3 linked regions of the Mus musculus genome follow. The main gene of each other region encodes a partner of the protein of the gene in region 2 in a complex. Links are inferred from orthologs where the notes say so. Each region holds a gene or a part of one and is shown on either strand. Other genes may lie near its edges.

Region 1 (7,036 bases), on a different chromosome or scaffold from region 2:
GTAACTCAGTACTCATCAAAAAACTGTGGCCAACGTTCTTCAGTCTCCATTCCCTGCAGTTCACCCACCCACCAATACCTGAAATTCCTGGGCATGAGCAAACTAGGAAAACCCATTCTCCATAAATTCAGCCAGCCCAGTCTGTAAACTCTCCCCAACCTTTAGATTCAGTAGCTAAAGCGATTCACATTCAAGGACTCACATTCTTGGACTCCAACCCCTCAAGGTAGCAAAGCACCCCTACAGGATGCTCTTCTTACTCTTCTAAAGAACAAGTCGCCCACCCTCCTGCAGTGCCTGTAAGGGACTTGAACAGTCACTGTAAAGCTAGAGCTTGCCCAGGTTAGTCATGGGCATAGACCCTTCAGGACCTACAGGCTTGGCAGGCGAGCTAACACTAGGAGCCACTAAACAGTATACTAATTACATGGACAGCAGCCAGAAGACTCACAACTTGGAACAAGATGACTTGGCCTGTGCCACCAAGGGCTCTGTGTACAGCACATCTCTCCAGTTTATGCCTGGGACTAGTGGCCTAAGTCTCAGGAAGAAATGTTGGTGTCACAACAGTAAAGAACCTCTCCCAATGCCCCATGATTAACTGCAGCTTTGTCCTGACCTTCCCCGTAGAACTTTAAAAATGCCATCCAATTCCAGGACTACCCTCTCCCCAGAAAAACGGGTGTTGTGGCACATAACCACTCACTCAGGACGTTCTGGGTATAGAAAAGACCCCATCCCAAACAAAGTACACACAGAAAAACCAGGCTTTGAGACACCATTGTTAGAACAACTCAGCAAAATAAAATTCCGGTTTATTGTTGGACATTGTTTCACACATACATCAAACAGGCCAAAAAAAAATAAACAGCAACTTCATAGACAGAAAGAAAAGGAAAAAAAAAATCTTTTTATCTTTGGCCTTTTTAACCATCTCATACAAACCAACTACTTATAGTACAGCTAGGTACATACACAAAAGTTACTGGAATGCTCGGAATAAGATTGTTTTTTTGTTGTTGTTTTTGCTTTTTTTTACAAGGTTTTTTTTTTCTCCTTTGAGATTATAATGAACATGGTCACACCACAAGTAAAGTCTGAAGTAGGACAGAAAACGCTCTGAAGGCTGGTTTGGTCACCCGTTATCATTAAAAATGGCTGACCCCTAACAATATGTACAAAAATATAAAATGTAAATAAAAAATACAAACAAATTTTCCTTTTAAAGTATTTTTAAGAAAAAAAGTAGGGCCTGGGAAGTTCTGGTTCTTTTTTCCTCCCATGTTGCCAATTCATGTTGTAGTTTTGGAGGGGTGGTGGAGAGCGCATGTCATATCTGTGGGTGGCATTGCCCGCTGTGGGCGGGCGGGGCCTGCTTCTCTACTCGAAGGTGACCACGTTTAAATTCTGAGACGGGAAGTGGAGGGTGAATAGGTCACGGTGCGTAAGGTTATTTTTCCTTTTGCTGTCTAGTCATCCTCCTCGGTCTTCTGCTTCTTGGTGTCCACATCGTCATCCTGTAGAGAACATCAGGCCTGTGACTACACATAAGCTCCCTAGGCCTTGGCCCACAACTCCCAGAGAGCAAAGCTGGGATGGGGTCCACTAAGAACCCTTCACCATTTGCCAGAAACCCCCAAAGCTTTTAGTGCCCCAGGAAAGGAACCTCACACATACCTCATCATCCTCAGCTACCCGCTTGCCCGTAGGAGCCTCAGCTTCCTCATCTTCATCTCCATCCTCCTCCTCACCTGGAGAATCAATCAAGGCCCACATAAACCACTATCCTCCCAGCTGCAGATCAAGAACGGCCCCAATAGGAGGGTGGAGTACACTGCAGTTCAAAGTGGTCCAACTGCCCAGAAACCCAACCTCTCCCTTCTGGCAGTAAAAGCCAAGGAAGGAACCTGAGAAAACAAGACTACTCACCGTCACCTTCTTCCTCCTCCTCCTCTTCCTCCCCACCTTCTTCCTCTTCTTCATCTACCTCATTGTCAGCCTCCTGCTCCCCATTTTCCTCATTTTGCTTTAACAGAAAACACATCTGCCATTAGCCAGCTCTGAAGCAGGCCTGTATATCTAGTGCACCTTGCCCCTCCCCACACCATACAGCTACCACACCACCTCCCAAACAAAAATCAGACAAGTTCCCTTGTCTGGTCCAACATCCTGAACTAAGCTGAAAATTTAAAAAAGTATAAACTGGGAACACAAGCCCCAGCTACTTGGACACTCACAGCGTTCCCATTGGCAGGTGCATCTCTTCCATTCTCTGCCTCCTCCACAACTTCCTTCTTCTCCTTCAAGTCCTTTAGAAGGAAGAGGAAACCCGTTAGTCTTCAGAACAATAGAGGGCCACCCATCAGCCAAAGTGCTGAAAACTAGACAAAGCTGGTCCACAGGACCAATCTGAGTCACTGGCTACTTGGCCACCCTAGGGTAATGTCAGCATGGACCATAGTAGGTACTCAAGGCCTGTAGTCCAAATCCTATGCTTTCCATCTTCTAGATACATTGAAAACAAGGCAGACTCATGTGTCGACTCAACGCACTCCTCTACCATATGGCATCATAGCCACAAACCCGCCAGGCCAGGCAGACAAGCTCGGGAACTGTAGCCCTTACCTGCACGCCCTTTGCCGCCGGTTTCCAGCTAGAGGGAGCTCCACCCCTCAGAAACCCTTCTTGGAAGGCAGTGGCTGTGTGCCTTAAATAAATAAGGTAGAAGGGAGGAGCCAGTCGACGGTCATTCGCTCAGGAATGGATGGGAGAGTCTGGATGGGGATCGGAAAGCGCCTGGGCATGCAGAAACACCCCCTTCAAGTCACACCAGCCATGCTTGGTACTAGGGACCTCCTGGCCTCCACAGCCCAAAGGAAATAAACTAGCACTCTGGGCCCTGCGGCTTCGGGGCCGGACCACTGGGTAACTTTTCCCACTACGACGGCTGAACGGTCGGCTCGGTCGGGGCCCAGGAACATGGTCCAGCTAATTCCGCCGGTGCACCGCTGGGTTACCTGCCGGCAATGGTGGGTTCGCGCCCACCGGAGGCCTGCCTAGGACCCCACTGCACCCGCTTCCGCCCCCTGGCGGCCGAAGCCCGGGGGAGTGAGTGGGGGCGGGGTGGCAGCGGTGCGCAGGCGCATAGCTCACCCAGCGAACTACGCGCGCGAGCCTCTTGCACGCACCGCGCGCAAAGAGCACGTGGCCCGGGGCGCCAAGTGCGCCCTGTGCCCTGGAGACCCGAGGTCCGCTTTCATCCAGGGGAGCGGAGTCACCCACTGGAGAAAGCCCGCTCCGTGCTGCCCCCTGGGGTCCTGCCTGTGAGGGGCAACACGCGGCTTCCGGCTCCGATTTTGGCGCCAAGCTCTCGCGGTAGGTCACCAGGGACTCGGAGCTCCTCGGCTCCGACCCTCGAGACCTTCGGGGGGGGCGCTCCCTAGGAGCGCTGGACCTCGCGGGAATTCACCTGAGACTCCCGCCGAGGGCGGAGGTGGGACCATGCTTGCTACAAAGTGTTACAGCGGTGGCGGGCATCGCTCCAGAGCGCGCTCTGCACGGGGTCGCACCAGCCGAGGGAGATGGCGAGCCACGGGAGTTTAAAGAAACAAGGCGACTGGGACTGAGTCCCCACTGCGGGACAAGCGGGGTGCGAACATCGAGGTGTTTGAAAGCAACGAGTCCGAACCGAACACGGCTGAGGGTGGAGAAGACTCCACCGGGAGGGCGAGCCCCTGCCTCAGGACCCCAGCCAGGACCGCGGTGCTGCGCGGGCTTCTAGACCGCCACGGCACCACCGCAGCTGGGGAGCCGTGGGGGGGCGTCCAGCCGCTCCGCAGCTTCACTTTCTATTTCCTCCCCCTCTCGCGTGGGCTCGCCGCCCGGGCCCAACCCCGTCAGCAATGACTGACCCTGCGACGAGGTCCGCCGCCGCGGGGACAAACACGACCACCCGCGTTCACCCGTGGCTGCGGACCAGACCCTTAGGTGTCGCGGTCAGAATCCCCCCAGCGCAGCACGCCGCCCCATCCGCGTCATCCCGGATAACCGGTGGCCGGCCCGCTATAGGGCGCGAACCCGGGCGCCTAACAAAGAGCGACTCGGCCGCGGGCGCCCTCAGCTCGCCGGCGCCGCACACGCGCCCCCCACACTTCCGACTGCGGACGCGCCGGAGTTTCAAAGTTATTTCCGTGCGCCGCGGCCCCGCGACCCCGGCCCCGAGAGCGCTCAAACCATTCGCAAACAAGTTTCGAGAATCCGCGTCTCGGCCCTCCCCGTTTGCGTCCGAGTTCCGAGGCGACCCCAGGCCATCGGCCAGCTCCCGACGGCGGCACCAATGCCCGCGCCGCTTCGCGCCCCCTCCCCCGCACACAAAGAGTGTTGCCCGGGGCCATCGCGCCGCTGGAGGGTGGCGGGGTCGCCTGGAAAAGCGTTTGCGTGATGCTTTCCTGAAAGCCCGCAACCACGCGCCCCAACGCCGCCCGGGCGACGGCGCGCAGACCCCGAGGGGGCGGGCGGCGTCCAGCCTCACCTTGGTGGTGATCTCGGAGCTGGTATCCACTGCCGCGTCTGACATGGTGGGGCACGCCGGTGGTCCGATGCCGCGAGTGAGGGAATTAAAAGTCGAGTTCGAGGACTCTGGCGAGAGAGCTGCCGGAGTCCGCGCTGGAGGAGGCGGTGGGCGGCGAAGGTGGCTGCAGCGAGCGCGGAGCACGACCCAGGAACAATGCAAAGATGGCTTTTCGGAGCAGCCAGTGGGGGACTCACGCGGCGCCAGAAGCTTTAATATAGATTAGTGGGCGGTGCTCAGCCACCCTAGTCCCGGCGCTATTGGCTGAGCGCAGGGAGCGGGCGTCCTCTCATTGGCTCGATTCCGAACAATGGGCAAGTGAGCTTAAAGCGGCAGTGCCTCGGCTTGGCGCGCGCTGCGCAGTCCCCCGCCGCACTGTCATTCAGAGTGTTGAATTTTGTTGGGTCTCGCCACGCCGGAGGGGGGTCGCGCGCGTGCGCGCTCCCGCAGCTGTTTTGCTAAGGCCTCTGACGCAGAAAGCTAAAGCGCGGCAAAGCTGCCCGCCCAGCCCCGGTCCTCCCCCTCCCTCGCGACTGCTCGGAAGAAGGAGGGGGAGGGAGGGAGGAGGGGGAGCGGGAGCACTGCCCGCCAGGGGGAGGGGGAGGGGAAGGCGAGCGATGGGCGGCGCTTGCCCCGGGCGGTGTCCCGCGTGGTTCCCGCGCCCGGGACCTGCCCGCACCGAAGAGCAAGTTGTCCCAGTTCAAGTGAACATCAGTCCACACAACGGGGTGACTGTGACTCGCACCTTCCGCCCCGTCCTCCTTTCCCTCCGCCTCGATGACACTAGTGATCCCCACCGCCCACCACTGTCCCGCCGTCCAGGGTCAGCTCCGGAGTGGGCCTCGCGCCCTGCACACTTGGGGGGACTCATGCGAAAGTCCCGGTGTCCTCGAGCGAGACAGGCCTGGGGCCTCACGCCACAAGGCGGTGTCGCGCCTCAGGGCTCTCTGGTCAGCGTCTGCTGTAAGAGGTCACTGCCGTCGCGACAGCTCTTAACATCATCCAGAGCCCCGCCCGGCCATCGAGTTTACCCCTCTCCCCTAACATTTTGCAGGCTCCAGTGGGCATATGAACAGTGTGCAACTGGGAGAAACTTGTCTCCCCGGCCATTAGGACTAGTCCTTGAAGGGGTTCCTTCAAACTTGAGCCATTTACGGTACCACGCGGAGCCTGAGAAAAGAAAAACCATAAAGACGCCACACTCAAGATGGCGTTGGACTCGGCAAGCGTGGCGTGACGTGGCGACTCGGCTCACGCGAACAACTTCAAAATACTATATTACTCCATTTTTAGCGCTGTCTCACTTGGCTGTCGAACTAAGGAATTTGCCCTGTGAGAAGAGCGACCAGAATGGCTATAAACGGGTTCGGAGAAACGACTTCGCCACACTCAAGATGGCGGCAGATAGCGTCCGACTGTGTGTCGCCAGGAGGGGGCGCCCGACACGGAAGGCGGGACTTGGGAGAAACCCGCACACACTGGCTGAGAGTGGCGGGCGAACACAAAGTTGACGCTTTGCGCCCTGCCATTGGTCATTCCTGCTGTCTGTCTCCTGGGGGCCGTGGAATCGGGAGTGAGGAAAACCCGGAGTCTTGAATCGGGGAGGGTGAATGGGTGCCAAGTCCCTTAGAGCTTTGAGGTCGAGGCGAGGAGACTGAACTGCCCTTATGGCTCACCCCCGGCGTTTGGGCCCATCCTCACCCGGAGGCCCCTATGCGGAGCTTGAGGAGAGGAGAGGAACGTGCAGTGTCGGGAAACTGTTGCAGTTGGACCCAGGGTCGGCCCGCGAGCCGCACGTGGCCGGCCCGCATCCCCGCGCGCACGTGCCAGTCCCGCCACCAGCCGCTTGGGCCTGTGTGAGCTTTTCCTTTAAGGAGAAAGCCTTGCCGCCGCCCTTTGGCCTGCGCTCACTCCCGTTGTCCAGCGGTTGCTCCTGTCCTGGCAGCCCCTGGCAAGGGAGGGTGTGAAGGCCCCCGGGGTCTCGCTCTTCTCGGAGCACACTAATGGCCGGAGACGGTTATCGCGCCCCAGCGCCCTAGGTTGCACAAACTGCCTGAGTCCGAACTGCCCCACCCCCGCCAGCGGGCTTTACTGTGATGAGGATATGGAGCTTAAACAGGGAAGGGCCTTTGAGCTGCAGCTGCCCAGACCCCTTTTTTGTAGATAGGGAGGGACGGTGCTTCAATATAAACAGAAAGGAGGATGCTTTCTACCTGGTGCTTATCCATTAAGCTCCCGTTATTCTCTAGAGGATTGTTCCATCTACAAAACCCAGATGCACAAAGAGCTTGGCCTATACCACCCACATCTTAGTTGTGGTTTCTGAGTTCTGGATTGGGAGAGCTGAGGGAGGCAAGGTGGCAATCAGTGAGAAGCTGGATAAGTATGAACTTCCCTCGAAGAAGAACTGCTTTATCTAGTCTTGTGCATGCCCGTGCCTCTACCATAAGGGAGGAAGGCCCACGC
Region 2 (6,550 bases):
AGTAGAGCTTCGGCCCAGAATCCCCCAGTGGGGCGGGGCACAATTAAAGGACACTTGCCAAGCATTCGGGACTCTCTGGCTTTTATACTCAGCACCAAAACTTGGAGAAGAAAAGATATGGACACTCAAGTGTGGTTTTCACCCTGATCCAGCCTCCAAGGGCCTCACCGAGGACGTAGATCTTGCCCTGGTGCACAGTAATCCCCAGCGCACTACGGTGATGCCTCATGGGGGCTACGAAAGTCCAGGTCTCTGTCTCCACGTCGTAGCGCTCCACACTGTTCAACTGGTCCTGCCCATCGTAGCCCCCTGCTGCATAGATACAGTTGTGCAGCACGCAGACCCCTAAAGGAAAGCGCACAGTGGGAGTCACCGTAAGCCTGGTCTGGGGTGGGGGGTGGGGGCAGGGCCACTGGACAAGGGACTTTAGTAGCCACTGCCCTTCCCTCCACCACTGGAGAAGCTGGAGTAGGAGGATCAGGAGTTCAAAGTCAACCTCAGCGACATAAGGACTTCGAGGGCAGCCTCAGTCATGTAACAGAGGGAGGAGGGTAAAGCAAACGCTTCCTCGCTTCCTCGCTGGGCTGGGCTGTCCTCACTCCACCCCCCACTCACCGGCCCCGCTCCGGATGGTATTCATCGGTGTGATCATCCGCCACTCATTCCTCTCTGGATAGTAACATTCTGCGGAGTTAAGCCGGTTAGTCCCGTCAAAGCCCCCCACTGCATACAGCAAGCGGTTGAGCACTGCCACGCCCACGCCAATCCTCCGTGTCAACATTGGCGCGACTAGATGCCACTCGTCCCGCTCTGGCTCATATCTGCAAAAGACATAATACCCCGTGGTCACCCGTGGTCAACCCTTACACCACGGCCCTCCATCTGCTTGCACATTTATTTTTAGGTTTTTGTTTGGTTGGTTTTTTGTTTGTTTTGAGATAGAACCCTGCTATGTAGTTCAAGCTAGCCTTGAACTCTCCGCGATCTCCTGCTTTAGTCTCCCCAGTGCGGAGAGATGAAGGATGTGCAGCACCAGGCCTGGCTCCAGAAGTGAGGGGTCATCAGAATCCAGGTTCACTGTCATCAATTATGACTGACAGCAACAGCAATTCCCTCTAGCCTAGACGGCTTTACCCCTTAGGGCTGCAGCACCTGTGCACTTCACCCCTAGCAGGATTCATTGCCTCACACCACAAGATTTGCTACAGACATGTGGGGTAGGACATCCAGGGTCACTAAGTGACATCTGGGCAGGTGTTCAACTCCAAATGTCTAACTGGGTCTCCCAGGTGGTTCTCTGAGCAACATGATCAGAGATGGGTGAACACGCCCCATTAGCCCAGCAGCGTCCAGTCCATCCCTGCATCCTACAGTCCTTGAAGGGGCCACCCTATTCACAGACCACACACATTAGAGCCCCTAGCACATTTGTTTACATTTCCATTTTCAGGCATGGGCGGGGTTAGCTTGGGGTAGACAGCTGACCTAGCAAGCATAGATTTCTAGGTTCTATTCCCAGCACTACAAATACAAAATTAAAATTTTTTCTCATTTTCTTACCCTTGCTCCAAGCCCTAAATTTGTGTGTGTGTGTGTGGGGGGGTTGTTTGTCTGTCTTGAGACAGGGTCTCTTATATCCCAGGCTGGCCTTGAACTTGCCATACAGCCAAAGATAAATATTGAATTCCTGATTCTCCTCCCTCTACCCCCAGAGCGCTGGGATGACAGCTGGGTTTATGAGGGCTTCCTGAACGCGGGGCAAGTGCTCTGCCAACTGAGTCACACCCCCAGCCCTTTTTCTTCTTTTCCCTCCTTCCTTTTGGCAGGGCTGGGGATGAGACCTTAAACCCTGGATTCAAGAAAGAGACCAGAGGACTGGAGAGATGGCTCAGTGGTTAAGAGTACCAACGGAAGGTCCTGAGTTCAAATCCCAGCAAACACATGGTGGCTCACAACCACCCATAATGAGATCTGCCGCCCTCTTCTGGTGTGTCTGAAGACTGCTACAGTGTACTTATACACATAAATAAAATCTTTTTAAAAAGAAAGATACCAGAGCACTACCACTGAACTACATCCCCGTTCAGATGATACCTTTTAAAGTAATTATAAATTGCACAATATAATTCACGTATTAGAGTAATTCCTACTACCCCCAGTGTGCAGCGGTGGTTCCTGTAGGTTTGGGACAGCCCCCTCCAGTACTTCCCAACTCTGGACACTGAGAATGAACATCCCAGCCGCTCAACCTCATATGAAGGCAGGGACAAGAACAGGTACCGTCTCTTTGGGCCCCCGGTGCTCACCTCTCCACGCTGCTGTGGTGGATGCAGCCGTGGGAACCCCCGACTGCGTAGATGTGGCCATCTATGACCCCCACCCCGATGCGGTTGCGTGGCACGCTCATAGAGGCACAGGGCGACCACTGGTTGGTCATGGGGTTGTAGCAGTCCAGGGCGCTGGAGTCAGTGTTGCCATCCGGAGAGTTGTTGCGGCCGCCCACAGCGTATAGCAGCCCACCCACCACGCAGCCTGCCAGCCCACTGCGCGGCACCTGTAGATCGGCCAGGCGCAGCCAGGAGCCATTGCTCGGGTTGTAGGCCTCCAGGTAGCTGAGCGACTGTCGGAAGTAACCGCCCGCTGTGTAGATGAGGCGGCCCACTTTGGGCGCGCGGCAGGGCACTGCCTGCGTGGGCTTGTGCAGCGTGAGCTCCTGGAATATCTGCACCAGGTAGTCCTTGCAGCGCGCGTCGGCCTGCAGGATCTCACACTTCTGCAGCTGCGTCTGCAGGAAGCGCGGCGTGAGCGCATGGCAGCGCACGGCCCGCAGCAGTGCCTGCACGTAGAAGCGCCGCTGCGGGCAGTCGTATTTGACCCAGTCGATGCACGCGTGGAACACCTCGGACTCGCAGCGTACGTTCAGATCATCCCGGCTGATGAGCGTGGCCAGCTGGCAGTGTGACAGGTTGAAGAACTCCTCCTGCTTGGCCACCTGCAGGGAGCTCAGGTGAGAAGGGAAGCCCTCCATCCAGGCCGAGCACCCATACACCGGGGGTCACACAGGCCACACACTGTGGACTCTTTAGGCTCCTGTATTGATTTTAGTTTTAATTTTTTTAAAAAAATATATATATAGCTAGGTGTAGTGGCACACTCCTATAATCCCCCATATCAGGGGAGGCAGAGGCAAGAGGATGTCTGAATTCAAGGCCAGATTGGTCCCCATAAGCCAGTTCCAGACCAGCTAGGACAACATAGTAAGATCTTATATCAAAATAAACAATTGAACCTAGTCTGGCCTTTAATCCCAGCATTGGACTAATATTCACTTGGAAGGGAGAGGAAGATGTCTGTGAGTTCCAGGCCACCTGTTCTACATAGTTTTTAATTACATTTACTTATTGGCTTATTGTGTATGTGTGTGAATGTACTCATGTCTGATGGGGGGGGGGTCTCACCTTCCTGGGACTGGTCTTCTGGCTTGGCAGTGAGTGCCTTTACTAGCTCAGAAAGGCACTGGGTTCTTAATTTGTTTATTTGTTTGTTTGTTTATTTAACCCCAGGACTCATATGCTGGAAGAATCAACTCCTGCAAGTTGTCTTCTGACCTCCACATGAACTGTGGCACACACATTGCCCCCTAAATCAATACAATACAATACAATTTTTAGATTAATAAAAATAAAACATAAAATGACTGGCAGTTTACAGCTTGGCACTTGTTTTTTTTCAGATGTAGGAATATTTTACACAAATGATGAGACACCTAAGGAATAAGAGTATGGTATAAACAACTTCACTCGAGCCATCAAGGCCCATGTCAAGTCTCAGCACTTGGGAACCTGACATGTGAGAATCTTGAGTTTCAGACAAAAGCCAAGGGCCATGACAACCTGCTATCTCAAAAATCTAAATAAATAAACAAACTACTTTTATGCTGGTCCATATTGACCTTACACAGCTTCAAGGCTCTCTCTCTGTGTGTGTGTATGTGTGTGTGTGTGTGTTTGTCTGTGTGTAACTGGCCTGGAACTTTATGTAGAGCAGGCTGGCCTCACAGATCTGCCTGCCTTTGCCTACCCAGTGCTGGGATTAAAGGTGTGCACAGCCACACTTGGTTTATGTGAGGTGGGCATGGAACCCAGGGCTTCACGCATGCTGGGAAAGTGTCCTAGCAATCCAGCAGCACATGGGCCCTCTGAAGATGGTATGCCCTATGCACAGTGTGCCTGTGCGGTCACTGCCACCCATCTGGTGAGGTCAGGTGTGGACGGCACATGGTGTTCAAAAGCCTTGGGTGCACTTCAGAGTTGGTGATATTCAGAATGCAGTCGTGTCCAGGGGACTTTTCTAGTCACTGCCACCCAAGAGCAAGGCTTTCCCCAGCACTGTCCCATTACTTTCTCTTGCAGACTTCCTGCACTGAGAAACGAAAATGAAAGCAATACCAAGTGAACCCAGGGAAAGCCAAGCAAAGCTGGAGCCTGCATGGGTGAGGCTGGCGGGTGCTGGTGCCTGCCTGCTCATCACACTTTGCCCTGCTCTGGAGGAGATCAAGACAGGGTTTCTCTCTGTAGCCCTGGCTATCTTGGAATTCCCTTGGTAGATCAGGCTAGCCATGAACTCAGAGATCTGCCTGCCTCTGCCTCTGCCTCCTGAGTGCCGCCACCACCACCACACACACACACACACACACCACTTTTTTTAGACAGAGTCTCGCTGTGTAGCTCAGGCTGGCCATCACAACTTTTAACCCCAGGGAGATCAGGCTGCTGAGGCACTGGGAGGGCACATCTTTACCTATTCCTAAGGGCTCTCTGTATTTGGATTAGGGGCTCAGAATCTGAGTTTTTGGGCCAGCAATGTGGCTTTGTGGGTAAAGGCACTTTTCTGCCAGGCCTACCTGAGTTTAACCTAGAAACGTATATAAGGTAGCGAGAGCCACCTCCTGCAATTTGTCCTCCGACTTGCACACAAGATCAGTACATGTATACACACACAAATAAATATAATCTTTTTTTTTTTTTTAACTTCTTCAGAGTTTGGTGTTACTCAGCACTCAGAAAGTGACAGCAAAGACAGGACTTAAAACAAAACAAAACAAAAAGCAACTTCAATAGCCAGGTGTGGTGGCACATGCGGCCTTTACTCCCAAAGGCAGGAAGATCTCTGTTAGTTCAAGGCCAGGCTGGTCTACACATTGAGGTCCATGACAGACAGGACTGTTACCCTGTCCTGAAAAACAAAAATAAATAAAACAAAAAAGCTTCAGCTAAAGAAGACTGTCAAGCCAGGTGTGGTGGCGCACGCCTTTCATCCCAGCACTTGGGAGGCAGAGGCAGGCTAATTTCTGAGTTCGAGGCCAGCCTGGTCTACGGAGTGAGTTCCAGGACAGCCAGGGCTACACAGAGAAATCCTGCCTTGAAAAACCAAAACCAAAATAATAATAATAATAATAATAAGAAGAAGAAGAAGAAGAAGAAGAAGAAGAATACTGTCAAAAAATAAGACCACAGGTGCTCACAGTTGAGGGTACTACTGGCCTCTTCCAGAAGACTCGAGTTCAAATCCCAGCACCCACATGGCAGCTCACAACTGTCTGTAACTCCAAGGTCTGACACCTCACACACAGACAAACATTCAGACAAAACGCCAATCCACAGAAACTAAAGGCAAATAATTTTTTAAAAAAGATTTAAAAACAAAAGTAAAATCAAGTTCCGGGGCACTGCTGGCCTCCATTCTATTAAGTATTGGGAGGGCGAACGTCTGTAACTACAGTACTCGACAGACTGAGACAGGAATCAGGAATTTAAAGTCATCCTCAGATACCCAACCAGATTAGGGCCAGCCTGGACTACATGAGACCCTATGGGAGAAAAGAAGGAAGGAAAAAGAAAACACCCAACAGTTTTCCTCCAGCCTGTCGCAGGGGAGAACGCCACGCTGGCCTATCCCACTTCTGAGCCCAAAGCCCGGCTTCACTCACCTCCCCGAAGTGCATGTAGATATACTCCCGGGCACGCTGGTGCAGTTCAGTGCAGCCGATCTGCTCCGCGAAGTTGGCGATGCCAATGGCGTTGCTGGGGTCCAGCTGCTGCACGAGGAAGTCGCTGCAGGCTCGAACCACGCTGTCAATCTGGTACATGACCGCCCCGTTCATCACGTGCAGGACACACTTCTCGCCCACGGAGATGGAGGCCGTGTAGGCGAACTCAATAAGCCTTTCCATGACCTTAGGGTGGATGCCTTCGATGGACACCACCTCCATGCCCTGCTCCCGAAGCCCGTTGGTGAACATGGCTTTAAAGACTGGGCTGGAGGAGGCCAGCACCACTTTGTGAGCCATGAATTGGGCAGCTGGGATGTCCTCATATTTGACCTGCAGGGTCACGTCACAGAGTTGCTGGCTCAGGCGAAGCTCGTTCATGACGCCAAAAGCCTGCTTGGTGTGATCCTCTAGTGTGTAGCTGAAGGTTCGGTTACCGTCCTGCGAGGGCGTCACCTCTGCCTTGCACTCCGTGGAGGCATACATCACTGCGTCCCCGGC
Region 3 (7,350 bases), on a different chromosome or scaffold from region 2:
AGTTTATCTGGGCTCACCATTTCAGGACTAGAGTCCTTGTTTGCAAAGTTCAGGGCATGACACCTGAAGCTGGAAGCTAAGAGTTCACATCCCGAACTTGTTGGAAGCAGAGAACACAATCTGAGAATGGCACACAGCTCTGAAACCTCAAAGCCTGCTCCACAGCTCTCCCATCAAGGTTACTGCTCCTAGATCTACCCAAGCAGCAGCACCAGCTGGGGTCCAAGTAGTAAATGTTTGAGTTTACAGGAGACATTTGTCATTAAAACCACAATGACAATAATAGTGATTTACTGTCCCCTCTCCCCACTCCTGTTTTAAAGAGTGACTGTAGCCCAGGCATGCCTTGAATTGGTGACAATGTTCTTGCCTCAGCCACCTGAGGGCTGGTATTAGAGATGTGGAACCCTAGATGGGGAGCTGTGGTGTGGTGAAGAAAGAGTTAAGTGTAAATGTTTAAGTCTGAGGAATTCTGTTTTGTTTTCTCAAGAAGATCTATGTGGGTGAAGGAAGCAAGCAGTCAGAACAGACACACACCTTTCTAACTATCCAACACAAATGTCACTTCTCAGGCAGAATTCAACAAGACCAAGGGCAACTTGTTCACTTCTGACTGGCTAAGGATTATAATAGCTACCGTGAACTTCAGAAACTTAAAAGTCTCAGAGTCTGCCTACCTCATCTTTAGAAACGTTAAGTTGCAGTTCGAGTGCATATGTGCCCCTGATGGGTATGCATGGTGCCAGGCTCTCTATAAAGGACTTGCTAAAATCAGGAAGGCATTCTCGTTTCTAACTCCACAGTCTGATTCAACACACATTTATGAGATCCATTCATATTCTATTTTATTTTTAATTCAAGAGTAGTGGTGCACTGAATATTCCAGCTTCCTCATTCTCCCACTGACAGACATCTGGGCTCCTTGAGAGTTTTGCTCTCATCAGTACATTTGCGTTTCCATACAAGTCTTTTTGCAGACAGGACTTTATTTCTCTTGGTGAACACAAGATGTGGGTCTTTATGTGCCAAAGGGTAGACGAATGCTTGACTTACAAGAAACTGACAGGGCTGTACTTTCTGCACAATTTTAGCTTCATTTGCTCTAGAAAAGAGCCAAGCCGAGATGGCCATAACTTGACGATTCACGAATGGAGCTCTGAGAGCCTGGAAGACCCTTTCCTCGATTACAGGCAGAAGAACCATGGGCATGTGGGGGATATCCGTAGGTGAAGGAGTTCAGACAGCACATTTGAGAGTAACAAATATGTGAATATCTGGACAAATCTTTTTCCCATTGGTTTTTGAAATTCTGATATCCTCAACTCTCTCCCCGGTAGCTTTTGAATATACCCAGGGAGTATATTCTTCAGCAGGGAGGGGTGGGGCTTCTTTTAATGAAGAGTAGAAACTGCCAGAAACAAATCACCTCATTTCTTCGCAGCCTTTGTTTCTTTTCTGCCACTCCCCCCACTGACACTTTTTCTAAAGTCCTCTCCACTGCCTGATCCACTGCTTTGGACTCTTAGCATGGTTTCAAAGTTCCCTCCAAAACTTACCCTGAAATTTGCTACTGTTAACAGTATGCATGCAACATTCCTAAGGGGGTCCTTTAAGAGGTGATGAGGACACTAGAGTTCCGCCCTCCAGGAACAAATTGTTACCACAAGAGTAGGTTCCCGATAAAAAATGATAGACAGTTTCCGGCGCTTTTACCCTGCCACTTAGCTGACACTGCATGTTATTCTACTTTCCAAAGCCTCCAGAGCGAGATAAACTTCTTCATAGTTTACTGTTGTATGTAGCATTGTTATAGCAGCAGAAGAGACTAAGACAACTAACTTTCCCTACCTTCTCCCCTGTGAAAGCTGACCTCTCCCCATCCGAGAACCTGTGTCATCACTGTAACTTAAGACTTCTGAAGTCTGATCAACTTGCATGTTTTAGTTCCCCACCTTAGCCACCAAAGTCTGTCCTAAGGGCACCACACTAATATTCACAGAGTGGACAGACTGGATTTCAAGGTGTCAAACAACAGTAACATTGAGCTTGGAGCCTGGAATGTTGGAGTGTTTTTTCCAGCGTGTATACCTGTTTTCAGCGTGATACATGTTTTCAGCCCGCAATTGTGTGCAAAGGCAGCAGTATGCAACAGGTGCCTAGACACAGGAGTAGAATCAGTGTAGTCACCTAGCTAACGGATCCTTACTGGACTGTCACCCATCACCCAAGGGCTCAGGCCTCTCAGGTGGAACTGGTTCTTCCGTTCTCAATTGGCCTCAGTTTCCGAGTCAGGGCGATGGTGGGGTGGGAAGTGAAGGGGAAGAGCCAAGCTGAGCCTGGCCAATGGCAGCTCTTGAACTTACACCTCCAGACGTCAGCGCGGCCGTGGAAACGGATGTCACCCAGCTGGCTCGGAAGCGTCTCCATCCGCTTCGGGAGAGGGGCGTGAGCCCGGAGGCGTCCAGGCCACCTCCGTGTGCAGCCGGAGGGAGTGCGCGGCCCCGTCAGCGCGCAGCCCCGAGGTCCCCGCTTCTCCCCCGGCGGCGCTCCCGCCCCTGGGTGAGACCCGCGCGCCCCCGCGGGCGGCTCCGCCCCCTCCCGGAGCGGGCGGCGCGCTCCCGCGGCGACGGGCCGTGTCGCGGGCTCGCGCGCCGCCGGCCCAGCCGCAGTTAAAATGGTCCGAGTCGGGCCCGCGCTGCCCCCGCCGCGGCGCTGACTGACTGAACCGGCTGGCCTGGCCGGCAGACTCGCTTCCCTCCCTCGCGTCCCCACAGCTCGCGCCCGTCCTCCTCCCGGCTCCCCGGGGGGCAAAGCATGTAGCCCGCGTCGGGCACCCGGGCGGCCCGCAGCTGACGCCCACCCCCGCCGTCGCGTGTGCCGGGTGCGCGGCGCGGGCGACCCAGCCAGCGGCCTGCCCCGCCGCCGGAGCCCGCCCCTCGGGCCTCCCTCTCCCGCCCCGTCCCGGTCGCCCTCCTCGGGGCCTTCTATATGGGCCACCTTCTCTCGAAGGAGCCGCGTAACCGCCCGAGCCAGAAGAGGCCTCGCTGCTGCAGCTGGTGTCGCCGCCGGCGCCCTCTCCTCAGACTGCCCCGCCGGGCTCTGGCCAAGGCGTCCCCGCAGCCCGCGGCGCCCCGGAGCCGGGACTGCTTCTTCCGCGGGCCCTGCATGCTCTGCTTCATCGTGCACAGCCCCGGCGCGCCCGCCTCCGCCGGCCTAGAGGAGGAGCCGCCGCTCTCGCCACCGCCGCCGCCGCCGCGGGACGGGGCCTACGCCGCCGTCTCCTCGCAGCACTTGGCGCGGCGCTACGCGGCCCTGGCCGCCGAGGACTGCGCCGCCGCCGCACGCCGCTTCCTGCTGTCCTCGGCCGCCGCCGCCGCCGCCGCTGCCTCGTCGCCCGCGTCCTGCTGCAAGGAGCTGGGGCTGGCCGCCGCCGCCGCCTGGGAGCAGCAGGGCCGGAGCCTCTTCCTGGCCGGCGTGGGGCCCGTGCGCTTCCTGGGACCGCTGGCCGCCGTGCAGCTCTTCCGGGCACCGCCGGCGCCGCCGCCGCAGGCCGAGCCCGCCACGGCCCTCGAGATGGTTTGCAAGCGGAAAGGGGCCGGGGTCCCCGCCTGCACCCCCTGCAAGCAGCCCCGTTGCGGCTGCGGGGGCTGCGGCGGGGGCGGCGGCGGCGGGGGAGGGCCCGCGGGAGGAGGTGCCTCGCCGCCGCGGCCGCCCGATGCCGGCTGCTGCCAGGCCCCGGAGCAGCCCCCGCCGCCGCTCTGCCCCGCGCCCGCCTCTCCCGCCTCAGAGTGTGCCCCCATCGTGGCCGCCGCCGGGGACACAGTCCGAGCCGGGGGCACCGCCCCCTCGTCTGCCCAGCAGCAGCCCGAGAGCGGCGACGCGGACTGTCAGGAGCCCCCCGAAAACCCCTGCGACTGTCACAGGGAGCCGCCCCCCGAGATCCCAGACATCAACCAACTGCCGCCGTCCATCCTGCTTAAGGTGGGTCTGGGCGAGGAGGCGCAGGGATGCTCACTCCCCCCCCCCCGCCCCCCTAACCCGGCTCCCCCGCCTCCGAGGCTTTCTCTCTCCTCCCCCTGTGTGCAGAGGAGGGGGGGGGGTTCCCTGACAGCCGGGGGACGCCGGAAGGGGAGACTGGGAAGCCAGTGGGGCCTGAGCTTTCAGCCTGGTGTTGAAGTAGGAAAACTTGGAGGCTGCTGAATGCCTCGAAGTAGCTTAGGTCCTACAACTCGGGGTTCATGCATTGCATTGGCAAACCCCCCAATATAGATACTATACTAGATTCTGTGGAATATACACGCATTTCTTGAGCAAGTTGTATACAGTGGGCAACCACTTTGCATACTGGTGTTTGGAAAGTTTAAAAGTTTGATGGATGCTAGTCTAGTGGCAATAACTTATAGTAAGCATTTACCACGACCAGACACTGACCGAGTGAATGGCAGGCCTTGGTCAGTGTGTTCCTCTGTAGACATCTTTTGAGTGTACTGTCCCGAGGACTTGAATCCTCTCTCAGGGAGTTGAGGAAAGGTCTTCCTGAATGGGGGAAGTTGTTTGCTTGCTCCGGAAAACTTGCAAACCATTGGTTCAGAAGCTGATTTACAACTGGTGTGTGGTCTTTATAAGAAATCTGAGAAGCAGAGAGTGGCTCTTCAAAGGTCAGCTCTGGGAATAGCAGTTTTCCCAAGTACTTAATAAACCTGTTAGGTCTCTGGTTACTGCATTGTTCTGAATCAAATAAACTAGCCTCAGATTTTGCTACTTGTTGCTTTTACAACTTGAAGCAGTGTTACATACTGAAACTGCCGCTAGATTTTTATATGATCAGCCATTGGGTAACAGTTTCCTTACTTATTTTCCCTTTGCAATAATGGTCACCTTGAGCTAAACATTCAATAGGAGCATAATGTTTAGATTGTTACCTTGCTCTCAGTGAGTAAGCCTGTTTCCTTCCAAAATGTAGTAAAGGGGAGAACTTGTCTGACATCACCATTAGAAAGCCTTCTCTACAAGTCTTTTCCACTCTGATATGTCAGTAGATAGGAAGTCTTCATTTTGGTAGGTTTGTTTCAGTTGGGCTGGGTTAATGGTCAAGGTAGTTTCCGGAGGGAAGTTTGCTTGGTAGAAAGCCTGGAAAGTTTTAGGAAGGTAGGTTTACCTCATTTCCTTTCTAAGTGGGCTATGTGGTCTTAAGCTAATTACAATACCGAAAAGTGCTGTGTGTTTACTTAAGAATTATGTCAGTTGTTTTGTAGTGAAAGCTGTCAGAGTAGGGTTGTTACCTTGAGTCTTGGCGCTTCAGGTTGTATAAGATGCTGGAGAGAAGGGGTATTTAAGAACTACTTCAGATTAGCATAGTCAGTTCCAAAGTTGGCCAACCTTCTGGGGTATCCTCCCTCTTATCTACCACCTACATATTCAATTCCTTTTCGAAGTGAGTAAGCAAAACTAACCTAGATCCATGTGGATGGTGTCAGTGATGTGTGGGTCAGAAGTGCCATTTACCTTGACCGGAGAGAAAACTGGAGAAGTACTGGTCCAGACTTGTTTCAGCTCGGCACCTTGGACATGCAGAGAACAAATGAGTCCTTTAAAACTGTGCAGTCACTGAGATAGCTCAGCCTGGAAAGGCGCTTACCAGTGAGCTGATGACCTGAGTTCAGTTATAGGAACCAACATGATGAAAGGAGATAAAGCACTCCTGCAGGCTGTCCTGCCTCCACAGGTGACACACACACACACACACTCTCACTCTTCCGCATGTACACACACAGTCTTGTGTATATTTTTATACATTTGTGCACACACAGTGAGCATGTGCATACATACACTTTTCTATGTACACAAACAATGGAATGTAAAAACATTTTAAACTTTTAAAAAAAGTCACACAGATGACTTAGTTTCCTCAAATCTTTATTTTCTCATCTATAAAATCAGGAGAATGAGCATAAAAATATCGGAGAGGGGCCATGGTTGCATGACAAATGAGTCTTTTCCAAGGAAAACCAAACCTGTCCAACCATTTGAGCTCTAGAATTAAATAAAAGACAAATACTCAGGAGGATTTATCTTAGGAAACTGTTTAAAAAGTCAGTAGTGGAATTTTGCAGCTTCTTGGTAGGTGCTCCTGGCATGACCTACACAAGGTCTAGCTCAGTGTAGGACAATAAGTTAAAGCCAGTTGCTAACCAATAGCAGAGGACTTGGTAGGAAAAACTAAAAGGAAAACTCACATAAAGATGGCCTGAAGGTTAGTGCCACTTGGAGGAGTGGGGAAGGAGCTGGAAGTGGAGCAAGTAGCCAGAGGAAACGGGGGGTGGGGGGAAACAAGCAGGGATAATCTTTTCACACATCTTGGTTTATTACAACCGCATGTGTGGATGAGGGCCGGCAGGAAGGAATGGCCAAGGTGGATCGACAAATTGGCTAAGATAATTATCCCAGTAATTGTAGCACTTGGAGGCAGATGCTGGAGGATCACAGATTGGAGGCCAACGTGATCCAGACCCCATTTCATAAACAAAACAAAAGACAACACTGGCTGGGCCTTAGACATCCCTTGTCTGACCCGTACTCAGACTGACGAGCAGGCTAGACAGTTCAGAACCAACTTTCCAAGACACTGAAACAGCTATGCAGACACAGCAGTTTCCCAGGGAGCCAAGCTAAAGGACAAGAGGATACTAGTGGAACAGACACTTGCACCATAGCGAACAGATTCCAGAAGGAACAGGCCAGTTAAAAATAAAGAGACCCAGAAAGGCCCAAGTCTGTAGTTGTACTGTGTTACCTGAAATACCTAAACATTTTTGAGCTATGAGGAAAAAGAAAGCCGGGAGAAACTGACACCAAGAGGCTTCAAAGAATTCAAAAGGACTATTGTAAATAACAGGATACAGGATGTACATAGCAGAAGGAAAGGAGACCTTCATATCATGAGAGGGGCATATTGGCACTTTGACTCAACCGGTGGGAAATCTTAGCAATGAGGGAGAGATCATAGAAATGTACTCTTTTAGATGCTGCTATGAATAAGAGTTGTTTAATTTTATTTTTAGAATACTTACTACTATTAAAAGTGCTTGCTTAATTAGCCAGCCTCTGTGACGAGAGAGTTTTTTTTTTTTTTTTTTTGCATCTGTTTTATATGTCCACATAACAGGTAACGTGTGTGCAGGTCAGAGTAGGGTGTTCATCCTCTAGAGCTGGGACCTGCGCCCTGATCCTCTGGAAGAGCAGCAAATGCTTGTCCATCTCTCCATCTCCCCAGCCCCTGAACGTTGTATCCCCTTCCCCAACAAGCAGTTTCCCTTCTTTCCTTGCTGCTTTTTGCCTGGCCAGACGCTC

The links.
Region 1: the proteins of Keap1 (region 2) and Ptma are in contact, whole or in part, in a crystal structure (PDB 2Z32), measured with the Mus musculus proteins. Residues at the interface, in NP_001103775.1 of Mus musculus: Tyr334, Ser363, Arg380, Asn382, Arg415, Phe478, Arg483, Ser508, Gly509, Tyr525, Gln530, Ser555, Ala556, Tyr572, Gly574, Phe577, Ser602; in NP_032998.1 of Mus musculus: Gln40, Asn41, Glu42, Glu43, Asn44, Gly45, Glu46, Gln47.
Region 3: the proteins of Keap1 (region 2) and Fbxl17 are in contact, whole or in part, in a crystal structure (PDB 6W66), measured with the Homo sapiens proteins. The link is inferred for Mus musculus from reciprocal best matches to the Homo sapiens genes KEAP1 and FBXL17. Residues at the interface, in NP_036421.2 of Homo sapiens: His59, Thr60, Ala63, Ile66, Met67, Glu69, Leu70, Gln75, Leu76, Gln82, Lys84, Ala90, His96, Val98, Ala101, Ser102, Ser103, Ser104, Pro105, Val106, Lys108, Ala109, Met110, Thr112, Asn113, Gly114, Val122, Ser124, Glu126, Gln163; in NP_001156787.2 of Homo sapiens: Asp395, Arg397, Arg421, Lys423, Asn447, Gln473, Tyr475, Met524, Arg548, Asn572, Cys574, Leu575, Trp577, Glu596, Tyr598, Val600, Ser601, Asp623, Trp626, Lys628, Tyr647, Met651, Arg652, Val676, Leu677, Asp679, Cys680, Thr683, Leu684, Arg686.

The regions. Positions count from the first base shown.
Region 1 is NC_000067.6:86,524,446-86,531,481, reverse strand, and holds Ptma (prothymosin alpha), read right to left. Parts: upstream 4,926-7,036; 5' UTR 4,577-4,925; coding exon 4,532-4,576; intron 2,310-4,531; coding exon 2,238-2,309; intron 2,027-2,237; coding exon 1,930-2,026; coding exon of another isoform or gene 1,926-1,929; intron 1,752-1,925; coding exon 1,678-1,751; intron 1,518-1,677; coding exon 1,470-1,517; 3' UTR 770-1,469; downstream 1-769.
Region 2 is NC_000075.6:21,231,082-21,237,631, forward strand, and holds part of Keap1 (kelch-like ECH-associated protein 1), read right to left. Parts: coding exon 5,990-6,550; intron 2,993-5,989; coding exon 2,307-2,992; intron 822-2,306; coding exon 616-821; intron 346-615; coding exon 169-345; intron 1-168. UniProt on the Homo sapiens protein: Substrate-specific adapter of a BCR (BTB-CUL3-RBX1) E3 ubiquitin ligase complex that regulates the response to oxidative stress by targeting NFE2L2/NRF2 for ubiquitination.
Region 3 is NC_000083.6:63,495,656-63,503,005, reverse strand, and holds the start of Fbxl17 (F-box/LRR-repeat protein 17), read left to right. Parts: upstream 1-2,425; 5' UTR 2,426-2,988; coding exon 2,989-3,981; intron 3,982-7,350. UniProt on the Homo sapiens protein: Substrate-recognition component of the SCF(FBXL17) E3 ubiquitin ligase complex, a key component of a quality control pathway required to ensure functional dimerization of BTB domain-containing proteins (dimerization quality control, DQC).